Rattus norvegicus: one gene and its partners. The protein of the gene in region 1 purifies or fractionates together with the protein of each later gene. This does not show direct contact. Links are inferred from orthologs where the notes say so. Each region holds a gene or a part of one and is shown on either strand. Other genes may lie near its edges. The genes, in order: Aak1, Reps1 and Ap2b1.

What was found.
Region 2: the proteins of Aak1 (region 1) and Reps1 purify together in Homo sapiens (affinity purification with mass spectrometry; 3 studies listed by BioGRID and IntAct, counting the BioPlex papers as one, with this or other methods). This does not show direct contact. The link is inferred for Rattus norvegicus from reciprocal best matches to the Homo sapiens genes AAK1 and REPS1.
Region 3: the proteins of Aak1 (region 1) and Ap2b1 purify together in Homo sapiens (affinity purification with mass spectrometry; 4 studies listed by BioGRID and IntAct, with this or other methods). This does not show direct contact. The link is inferred for Rattus norvegicus from reciprocal best matches to the Homo sapiens genes AAK1 and AP2B1.

Annotation. Positions count from the first base shown.
Region 1 is NC_086022.1:120,987,473-120,991,121, reverse strand, and holds part of Aak1 (AP2-associated protein kinase 1), read right to left. Parts: intron 2,852-3,649; coding exon 2,750-2,851; intron 1,674-2,749; coding exon 1,572-1,673; intron 302-1,571; coding exon 191-301; intron 1-190.
Region 2 is NC_086019.1:14,562,548-14,566,196, reverse strand, and holds part of Reps1 (ralBP1-associated Eps domain-containing protein 1), read right to left. Parts: intron 3,248-3,649; coding exon 3,085-3,247; intron 2,825-3,084; coding exon 2,761-2,824; intron 1,718-2,760; coding exon 1,563-1,717; intron 1-1,562. UniProt on the Homo sapiens protein: May coordinate the cellular actions of activated EGF receptors and Ral-GTPases.
Region 3 is NC_086028.1:68,599,303-68,603,622, reverse strand, and holds the start of Ap2b1 (AP-2 complex subunit beta), read right to left. Parts: upstream 2,901-4,320; 5' UTR 2,784-2,900; intron 2,732-2,783; exon of another isoform or gene 2,588-2,731; intron 2,390-2,587; exon of another isoform or gene 2,276-2,389; intron 66-2,275; exon of another isoform or gene 48-65; intron 1-47. UniProt on the Homo sapiens protein: Component of the adaptor protein complex 2 (AP-2). Adaptor protein complexes function in protein transport via transport vesicles in different membrane traffic pathways.

The DNA of each region.
Region 1 (3,649 bases):
TCCTTGCACCTGTCTGCAGTTGCTTATTAACTACTGTGAGAGGACCGTAAAAGACTACAAACCCATCTTTTCTACAGAAATGGACAGTTTGAACACTTTATTAACAAAGACTTTTGATAAGGGAAGTCCCCAGGAGCTGTTCAACTCTTCTGCTCAGGGATACATGTGGGTCCAAAAAGAAAGACTTTACCTTTATGAGTGGAAGCAGAGAGTGCTATGGGGGCAAACTCGTCCAGAAGGTCAGCAGTAGGGTTAGAAAGCAGAGAACAGTCAAGGAGAGAGTCTTCCCCCGTGAGAGAGTCTGAGTCCAGTTACCAGCATTCCAGGCAACGATGGCATTAAACAGCACACAACAATATTGTGAGGTTAGAGCTTGACTTTCAAATTATTGCATTTACAGGCCATATATACAAGCCAAGATACAGAAAGAAAATCAAAAGAAACATGTTAAGTTCTCTGGACTTTTAAGCACAAAAACATGTATGTATCCTAGATTCCATTTGGCAGTAACACATACGTATAGATTTTTAGCTTAGAAACTGTTCGTTAAACAATAAACGAGTCTGTGATTCAAACACACTTCTCGGTAGACACTGTTTGGAGAAAGGACTTTGAGGCTAGAGTCTCACTTAACTTTTCCACTCAGGAATCACACTGACGTGCTAACACTGGTTCCCCTTTGAAATGCCTCTTGCTACTTTCTTTCAGTAAAGAGTTGGGGAAAACCCAGAGATAAAACATTGGAGTGTTTCCTGGAGAAACATCCAAGTGAGGAACAGGAGAGGCCCAGCTTTGATTACCATCACATAAGGGGCACCAGCAGACAGTCTTATATCAAAGCATGAGGACTCAGACAAGACTGAAAGACTCAAAGCAATACTGGGTCCAAGGATGATTTCAATGTTTCCTGCAAGCTAAAGAAGAGTCAACTCTAGAGGATGAAGCTCTGATGTGGGAAAGAATTGTCAACAGGAAGGGCTGAGCTCCACAGAACCAATGCTGAGGACATGCCGAGGCAGCCATTTGTCTGCGCAGACTCCTGCTAAGAAGGCAGAGGAACCTGCTCCCAGTGGAGACAGTCTTTTTTCCCCTTTCTGGTACTGAGGATTGACTAGACCTAGGACTCTGTGCATGCTCTGCAAGCACTCTGTCACTGAGCTATATCCTCAGCTCTGGGCAAAGGGTAATGAATAGCAAATTCTGTAATCAGGGAGTCATTCTAAAGAAAAATATGGCTCCAGCTCTCTTGCTTTCTTGCTCTTAATCTGTCCTTTCGTCTCCCCCCCCCTGCCCCTCCCTCTCCTATCCTCTCAACTCCCTTCCCCATGCCCCGAATAGACTCTATTCCATACAAAAGAAAGAAAGAAAAAAAGAAAAACATGGCTCCAAAAAGTATTCAGTTCATAAGCACAAGGATATACTCTATATCCAGAAGCAAGACTGTAAGAATAATTCATAACATCCACTATAAAACCAACGAGAATGCAAATAAACAGAGGTTCATCTGCCACAGGTGGGAAGCCCTGCTCTGAGGCTCCTGCACTGACCAGCTCTGCAGCTCCCTGACTGACCTGTGCGGTTTGAAGTCACAGATTCCGTGTGAGATGGGAGGCGCTGGGCAACAGGTGGCTCCAGCCCAGGTATGAGACTCTCAACAGCAGCATCAGCTTTTTCTTTTGTACCAGGGCATGAACAGTGGAGAGGAAGGGATGAGAGAAGGAAGAAGTCAGAGGCTGCTCAGGAAAACCTGGGAAGGCTCACTTCCACAAGTCTCGGGCCAGATGCAAAGCACAGCCTGTGCACCTATTCCTGCTGCATTTGGATGGCTGAGCATGCGTGCACAAGGTTAACCATCAGGAGTGTACGCTGATCACTGGCCCCTACAAATAACTTTGGGATACAAGCTACTTTCAAGCAACACGTTCTTCCATGTCAGAAAAGACTGGCTTCAAGACAGGCAATAGTGACTCACACCTGTACCAATAACTATGGAGGCTGAGACAGGAGGATTGCCATGAGTTTGAGGCCAGCCTGGCTATATACAGTTGGCTTCAAAAAGCCAACAACAATCAAAACAGCTTCATTCATCATTAGTTTCAGCAATCCCCCCCCCCCACTCCTTGAGCCAAACCTGGAATAAACATCCTCTAATCTAATGCACAGTTCTCAAATTTCCCCCACTTGACCCTATGATGTAGGAGGGAAGGGCTCTGCATATCACAATGCAGAGATGAAGACAACTTTCTGTGAGGTAATGGCATTCCTAAGTGCTAGCACTAAAGTCTAAGGGCTAAGTCCTTCAAGAGTTCAGGTTTAGGTAACTGAGTAAGCAGGCCAGGCAACTGCCCTGTTTATCAGACATCCTGGTATGGGTAGTGTTCCAAGCTTTGGCCTTCTAAAGACGAATCAGCTCAAGTCTATTAAATCGGTGAAGTTCCAAAGACCAGTTAGAAATCAACTGTTTCACAAAGGTTTTCTTCCACAGATTCTTCCTTACTCATGAAATTTACTGGAGAAATCACAGAACATCAGTGATGACCAGAGATACAGGTTGTGTGCATGGAAAACGGGAAAAGTCACTTCTTTTGGAGTAGCAGGAAGGGAGTTAACAGTCTGGACTGCTGTATTCCCACTATGCACAAAGGCTACAGAGGTCTTGGTCACCTCTGCCCTCCACCCCCAATCCCCATGCCAGAGCTTCTCCCAACCCCCATAGCAGGCATGACTGAAGAAATAGACCGTGTTTTACCAATCACAGCATCGGAAGTGCTGCCAAAAGGATCTGTCATAGGCAAGAGGTCAGGGAGCAGAAGAGAAGTGTCAGGAGATTTGAGTCCCTCGATTAGTTTTTCTGGGTTGGGAGAGAGGTAAAGAAAAGGGGAAATGCAATGAGATTATAGAGCAACCGCAACGTTTACTGCTTTCCATGACAACGGCTTAGGGGCCCGCACTTTAAACATTCACCATAAAAACAAAGACCATCAGGATCTTGTTAACAGTATGCTTTTCAAGGGGCAGCAAGCTTGGTTCAGTGGGTAAAGGTGTTTGCCACCATGCATGAAAAACTGAGTTCAATTCCAGGGACCTCACCAGTGCAAGAAGAGAACAAATTCCTATAAGCGATTCTCTGACTTCCACACATGTACTCACACACATACAACACAAAATAAATGTTAACCAATAAGTGTAATTTTCAAAATTGTGTATCCTTCAAAAGACTTTCCAAAATGAGAAGGTAAAAAAGTTACTTCCCCAGGTAAACTTGAACTCAAGGTGAGGTCATTGGGTCTGTTTATCCCTTGTTTTCATTTGAGGCATAATTTACATGATAACCATAACCAATTTTAAATGTGTAGAACATGGTGAATGTTGACAAGCTTATACGTTCAAGTAATCACCATTAAAGCGATGATACGGACTGTTTCCAACATTTTCAAACTCCTGTACCCCATACAATAAATGCTTCCTTTTTATCACAGGCACTAGCAATATAGGCCTGGGTTTTATCTATTTAGTTTTGCCTTTTTTAGATTCCCAACACTGATCCCTTTTAAAAAATACATGTAGGCAATAATGACACTGACCTTCTAATGCTCCTGCCTCCACCTCCTTAGTGCTGGGACGACAGGCATTATATGTTGCTGAAGAC
Region 2 (3,649 bases), on another chromosome or scaffold:
AGAACTGATATCATAAAGATGACCATTCTACCAAAAGCAATTTGCAGACTCAATGTAACCCATCAGAACACTCGCAGCACTCTTCACACAGAAAGAGAAACGATTAGCAAAGACAGGGTCGGAATCTGACCAAGGAAACAGTACTGTGGAGGAAAGTGACTGCAAGTGCTTCTGGGTGACATCCCATTGTCTAGGTGAGGATGAGAAAGACAGACTACGTAGTTCTTAGATGCCTAATGTGATCGTACAGTAAACGTACAGTACTTAGGAGCTAAAGCCAGCCATAACTGCCCTCCTGAAGAATCACCTTCGTCACCATATGTGAAAGAGAGCTTGCACAGGAGCACTGAGACGATGGGCAGCTGTACACATAGGCTCACTGGGAACGTAACAGCCAGTACCTTTTATTCACTTGGAATTTAAGAAAAACATATGTATACTCAACACTTATAGACTCTTTCCATTTACAGAAAGCTACCAGTAAATATAGATCATATTATCATACATAAATAGTATTATCTAAAATCAAATTCCAAATTTCCAGATTTTGTAGTCATTGAAAAAAACATTATAAAGGTCTAATAATGAAACAGATTACTCCCCTCAAGATACTAAGACATATTAAGTAGAAAACATTTATGACTGACACCATAACCTACTTTCGACAATACAGCATGCATTTAGGATAGTAAAATACTAAGTACCACTGAGAATTCTCACTCTGAGTCTGACGCAGGCCCTGTGGGTAATAAGGAAAGCTTTTCTTTCTGTCTCCTCTTTTCATTTTAACTTGGGACAAGGTCAATGCTATAAACCTAGGTGGGAACTTTCAGAAATCGTCCTGTCTCTGCCTTCCAGGTGCTGGCATTCCAAGGGGGATACACCATGCCCAGTCCCATGTACCACTATTAAAGCTGATACCTAATGGCCCAAATTCAGTGTCTACCCAACTAGCCACAGCAAGTCTGCACACCTTTCTCTCTCTCTCTCTCTCTCTCTCTCTCTCTCTCTCTCTCTCTCTCTATCATTTATCTATCATCTATCGTCCATCTATCATCTTATCTATCTATCATCTATCTGTCTACCTATCATCCATCCATCCATCTATCAATCATCTATTTATCTATCAATCATCTATCTACCTACCGACCTATTATCTATCTATCTATCTATCTATCTATCTATCTATCTATCATCCATTATCTATTTATCTATCTATCAATCATCTATCTATCTCTATCTATTTATCTATCTATCTACCTACCTATCATCCATCCATCCATCCATCCATCCATCCATCCATCCATCCATCCATCATCTATCTATTATTGAAACAGAGTTTATCCTGAAGTCCTGTCCAGTCTGGAACTTGCTCTGTAGACCAGTCAGAGACCTGTCTGCCTTAGCCTCCCAAGTGGTAGATAAAAGGCGTTCATCTCTATGCCTGGTCAAATCTGTGCACTTACTAAAACGCTTTAAGCTACTAAACTGACTTCCTTCTCAGAATGAAGTACCATGTTCACTGAAGCTCATAGTCAGCTCTTGGTGGCCACCAACCTCACCTGCTGAGTCTTCCAAGTCAATCAGCTTGGGCATCAGGCTTTCGGGGAGTTTCTCTGGTAGGTCATAGCCATTTTTTCTAGCAACTACCAGATGAAAAGCAGCACAGAACTCATCCAGTGTCAACGCGCCATCTTTGTCGAAGTCTGAGAGCTCCCTGGAAGACAAATGCATCATCACCACATTTTGCTTTGGAGCCTCTTATTTATCAAAAAAGAAGACAAAATATTTCTCACACAAGAAAAAAATTTTAAAAATCATTAATTTTAAAAACCCCACATGGGCAAAGAGGTGTAACAAAGCAAATATGTCAAAATTATAACGAAGAATCAATGTGAGAGACAACTGAGCCCTCCTGGTATGATCCTTTCAACATCTTATTATTTTTGACTGGAAAACTAGCCTCCAAAATTAAAGTCATCAAAATATTATCTTTAATTTGATGCATTTTTATTAATAGAGCTTATTTAGTTGAAGTATATAAAATAAACATATGGAACTTATTTAAAATTCTGTTTTTATTATCAAAGTTCAACACTTTCAGACTTTAAGAAAATAAATTGACTAAAGTTTAATAGGAAAATACAGCCTCTGTCCTGCTGTCCTTGTCCCCTATACCGAATCCATGTGTATATGTGTTTTATTTTTGAGACAGTCTCACTATACAGCTTAAACTCACAATCCTCTCATCTCCACCTCCCGAAAGCTGAGATTCCAAAGCCTCTACCACTCTGCCCGGCCTTAGAAAAGAGTAATGGTACAAGGTAGAAACAGTGTTTAGGAGGCGGTCCACTTTTGAAAGTAACCTGCAGTTATAAGCTGTGTTCCATGAACTAATTACAACTCTGTGGCGGCTACTGCGAGAGTCTTAGTCTACGTATGACGTGAGAGCTAAGCCTTGTGCTTACTTTTTTTGGCTAGATATAAACTTGATGACAACTAGGAGAAATGACACAGGCAAAGTAACAGCCTTTTCTTGCAGTCCACTAGCAGCAGGAGAAACAGAGCTCCAGTGTCAGCTCACAGCGATTTCCCTAACTGGCCTAGGAAGAGAGGCTCAGTCTTCGGCCCTACTGGGTTCTCCACCAGCACCCACAGAGGTCAAGTCCAATCCTAGTTTTAAGGTTCTGAAAGTTTTAGGGTGCCAGAAATTCTTTTGAAACAACCAACATGGACCAACTAATAATATACTACACTTACCAAATATGAGAAAGTTCAAGAATAGGAAGTTTCGATTTTGTAAAAAACTCTTTAGCTGCAGACCCTGAAATATTAAAACAGTTTTGTTTAGTGCTATTCTAAACACACAAATCCAAGAACATCATCTTAGGCTGGGAAATATAACATTATGTATAATGTTAAAAAAGTCATGCTTTATTTCCCGGTGACTATAAAGTCCTTTGAGACAAGTCACGTGAGTAATAACTAAAATGGAGGATCAACAAAGCAATGTCTATCTGTCGATAATGACACTGACACTGTGTCCCAGCCCATCCAGAAGACCTTCTGTTCTCAACGACTCACCTGGAATAAATCCGTTCAGATCAGGCTGAATGGTTTTAAACTGATTTACATAATACTGTCTTTGTTCATCTGTTATTTTCCAGGGATCATCGTAACTACTGGATTGCCTACGGATTTCATTGGCAGTTGTGGCTGAGGCTACAGTTCGTACTGTTGTCTGGTCCTGCAATGAAACAGTTTTCCTCAGTCCAGGATCCATCTATGCGCTTACATGGACCGAGATCGCTAGGTTACTTTTCCTTGAAAGTAAACTTGTGTTTTTTGAGGATATTTAAAAGGTAAGAAGTCAGCAAACCACACATTGTTATGATCAGGTTATTGGATATGGTTTTGCAAGGTGAGTATATAAACATGTAGAATGACTGCATTTATGTAAGCAACAGAAAGTTATGAAAAATGTGCTAAGAAAGCCAAGCAAATATATTCCCAGATGTAGAAATCTTCGAACACTTTACTAGGGAAACAGAAAGGAAATCAGCTAAAACACAGTGGAACATTCCGTGGACAACAGACTTGAAGAGACGCCACAGAGCAGAGCTCTGATTTTTTTAGTAAGAGTGAACTT
Region 3 (4,320 bases), on another chromosome or scaffold:
CAGTGGCATTTTGGATTAGGGATATAGCTCAATGGTAGAGTGCTTACCTAGCAGGTATAAGGCCTCTCCATCATCAAAAGGGAGGAGGAAAAAAAAAAAAGGAAAAAAAAAAAGCAGGTAAATATATCACTCATTTAACTGACACCATAGTCAATAATTGTGATGAAATAATTGCCATCATACAGGCAGAAAAACAAGGCATCCAGTCTATCCTTAAGGCGGGGGCAGAGGTGTGGGGGATAAGGGAGAATGAAAACAGTCTAAACAAAAGCACTGTAGAAAGAAAGGGTTGGGGGGGCTGGGGGAGCAGCCTAGACTTAAACACATTATATATTTGTATGAATTTTAAGTATTTAATTAAAATGAGAAAGAGTGGTAGTGACAGAACCTTAATGTCCCTGTGACTCTCAACTCACAATTCATATAACTATTTTTTAATAAAGACCCTCCCAAACACTTGCCAAATATTCAGTCAAATTCTCCAGTATAGGGTGTAAAACTGGTGCCCACAGTAGAAACCACACACACACACAAAGCCACAATAGAACTGGAAAAATACAACTTCAACTTGCCTAGTGCTTCAAAATTCAAAATCCTACTGGGGCAAAATTTTTCAGGAAATCCCTAGAAATAAGCAAGCCACAATGGAATTTGAACTTACACCACCTTATACAACATGAAACCTGAAAGGTCACTGACTGACTTAAGGTGTGGCCTAGGGACATTGTTAAAGGACAGAGCAGCCACCAGGCAAAGCAGTAATCCTTGAACTTGTCCTAGCCCACAGTATTGCTTCACTGCCTTTCACAGTACAAGGGTATAGATCTAGATTAACATAACCTAGTTTCTGCCAAATATAGGTTGTCAACGTCCTTTCTCTCCTCCCAGCCTTCCCCTCCTCCAATTTCCCCAAAGAGCAACTCAACAGCAAACCAAGATTAACAGGCTGGGTAGAATACAGTCAGAAACAAATTAGTAAGGTCTTAATTTCAAGTAGTTGTCTGGGAAATGGCAGCCAACGTTAGCACTGGCAAGGCCACTATGCCCTTCTTTGCACATGAAGTCAATAACTAGCCAGAGTTCAGTAAACTGCAAAGCATTAGTGACATTCCAGGAACCTCTGCTTATAAGGATGAGTGGTATGAAGACCATTTCTGGCTAAAATGTTCATAACACCAGGACAATAGCAGCTTCAGATTAATTAGCTTATCAGAAATAAAACATTTAAAAGCTAAATCCACCTCTGGCTTCTATTTAAACAACTACAAGTTAATTCATTAATATAGTATTATGCGTAAAGAAAGAAGCCCAACAGTTTTACACCCAACTGTTATGAAATTCCAAGACATTTGGGGAAACCTAAGCCTAGGAGGAAAGAAGAAAAATGGGGATGATGTCCTCTGAATGCTCCCTGTCTGACTTGGTTCAAATGTGTGCCTTAAGAGGAAAGCAATGACCTTTTACAGGGGAAGGGGATGTGAGGGACTTCTCTGAGTCTTATTTTCTCAGAATGTTTACTTTGTATTAATTTACCACTCAACTTTAGGGAGCTTTTTTGCAGAGCACACTCCCCTTTATTTCTCAGGGAGTCTCCCCTGCAAGACACCTACTCTGCTCTCATTTTACATGTCCGCCCGCCTCACTTAGTCATCCCGGGAATGTGTTACTGGTGGCTGCACCTACTTCACCTGCCGCTTTCTATTAATACCTTGTAAGTGCACCCTGAGGCTGAGCAGTAGAACTACACAAGGAAAGCAGGTGATAATTTAGATTGTTCCTCTCTGAGACCACCTTCTTTTCAGTTAACTTGCCTTGCTGTGCTTATAGTGTGTCCTTTGTCTTTTAAACCACAAAGGTCACAAAAGAGTTTGGCCATTTTAAAAAAATAATCTCCCTTCTAAATGATAAAAAAAAAAAAAAATTCAGCGAAGCATCCATGACAGATTCATACTGCTTCATACCTAAACTGCTTGAGTTTAATAAGAGCCTTCCTCTAAACAGGGCTGCTCAAAATACTAATACATCCTGAGAATTCAAAGAATAAAGAAATGGCAGGAAATTCCAGTTTTTTCACTTCTAGTAGACTTTTACAGCCTTGCCCAAACTAGACTGCTCCTAATAACCCCGGGGAATAAAGGGAGCTAAAAAAAGAAAAACAATTCCAGGCTAAGATTTACTTTCACTGGCTTCCCCCTCTCACACAGGAGGTCAATTACGCAAGTTTCTCCTTCCTTTCTCGAAGAACATTATTTAGTCCCCTATTCTCTTTACCCACTTCCCTCCGCAGGTCAAGACCCGGTCAAGAAAACTGTCCAGGATAAGGAGAGATGCCTCCGAATACGGGTGACAACGGAGGTTTCAGTGACCAAACGGTCGCGGGAATCCTTTCTCCCTAGGCGTGCTGGACGGACACGTCCAAGCTTCTTTCTCAATGAACAGATGCCAAACGGGAAATCTAGGTGGTTCTCCCTGGGCCTCCAGCGGCCACACCCCTGGCCTGAGCCCTACCCAAGCCGGTCTTCCGAACCTTGCTTCGTTTTGAAGCCCCCAACTATCGCTGCTACACCGGAGCTCAGCCCCAACCCACCACGGTCACTACGAAAGAGGTACTTTCTCCAAGCTTTTCCCTCACAACGGTCACACCCGAGGACTCCCTCCATCCTCAACCGTCACGCTCCCCGTTTCTCCTTTCCTCCTGCGCCTACGACCCGGCTTGGGGTTCCCTTCCTTCACAACTACCCCCAGTCAGGGACACACCCCAAAGCCAGCCGCCTTGAACTCACCGGAGGCAAGGGCGGGGTGGCGGCGGCAGTCAGAGAGCACAGCCGGGAAGGTGGTGTAATGGTTTCCTGCCCGTCACGATTCTCTCTAGATCTAAGACACTGCGCAAAACCCAATTTGCCAGGGACAAAGATGGTGGGCCGGAAGTTTTGGCGTAAGAGAATCTCGCCGCCTGACGTCATCCGGGTGCGCGGGAGAACCAAACAGCCAAGTTGTGTCTGTCGCCTCAGCAACGGAAAGGTTTACCTTTCTCAGGGTTAGGGCAGACTAAGGAAACCCGCAGTGGCTTTTCCAAAGGATATCTTCAATACGTAGATATTTTCTTGATTTATTTCCATGAACAAGAATTTTGTTAAACCTGTGTGAGATATCCTATATGCTTAAACACAAACCTCGGCTAATTTGCATGTAAGGTTCAGAAGCCCATAGAGGTGATAGAAACCAGAAGTACAGGTGGGCAGCTGAACTAGGAGTTAGCGACTCAAAGATGCTAAGAAGTATTCAGATCTGAGTTTGAATCCCTACGTTGTACAAGACTGGAGAAACTTATTAGCGCCCCCTTCCTGCCTCGCCCGTAGGCTTGCGTGGTATAAGGTACCCAAAACACTTAGTGGATACAGGTTTCTTTAGGAAACTAAACTGGTACTACTGGTGTTTAAAAAGAAAAACCAGCATTGGGCTGTGTATCTCAAGCAAGCCTGAAACTAAGCCCCTCTTGCTTCTGCCTCTAGAGCACTTTGAACTTCTCTATCTATATATATACCTTGACAGTAAGGCTTAGTGGTTCTCCTACCCAGGCTTCCCTCACTCTACTATTGAACATCTTTAATGTGCATTGGTGTTTTGCCTGCGTGTATGTATGTGAGAGTGTTCGGTCCCCTGGAACTGGAATCTCAGACAGCTGTGAGCTGCCATGTGGGAGCTGATAACTAAACCCAGGTCCTTTGAAAGAGCAGCCAGTGATCTTAACCACTGAACCATCTCTCCAGCCCCCAGATTTGAAACTTAAAACTCACGGCAGGGCTGGAGAGAATGGCTCAGTGGTTAAAAGCACTGGTTGCTCTTGCAGAGGTCTTCAGTTCAATTCCCAGCAACCACATGGTGGCTCACAACCATCTGTAATGAGATCTGATGCCCTCTTCTGGTGTCTGAAGACAGCTACAGTGTACTTCTATACATAAAATAAATAAATTGTTATATATTAAAAAAAAACAAAAACAAAAAAAAAAAAACAAGGTAACCAGGTGTGGTGGCATAAGCCTTTAACCTCAGCACTCAGGAGGCAGAGGTAGGTGAATCTTTGTGAGTTCAAGGATAGCCTGGTCTACAATATGAATTGGAGAGTCAGGGCTACACAAAGAAACCCTGTCTTTGAAAAACAAAACAAAGGGTTGGGGATTTAGCTCAGTGGTAGAGCACTTGCCTAGCAAACACAAGGGTTAGGTCCTCAGCTCCGGGGGAAAAAAAAAAGAAGAAAAGAAAAGAAAAACAAAACGGGCTGGAGAGATGGCTCAGAGGTCAAAAGCACTGTCTCTTCTT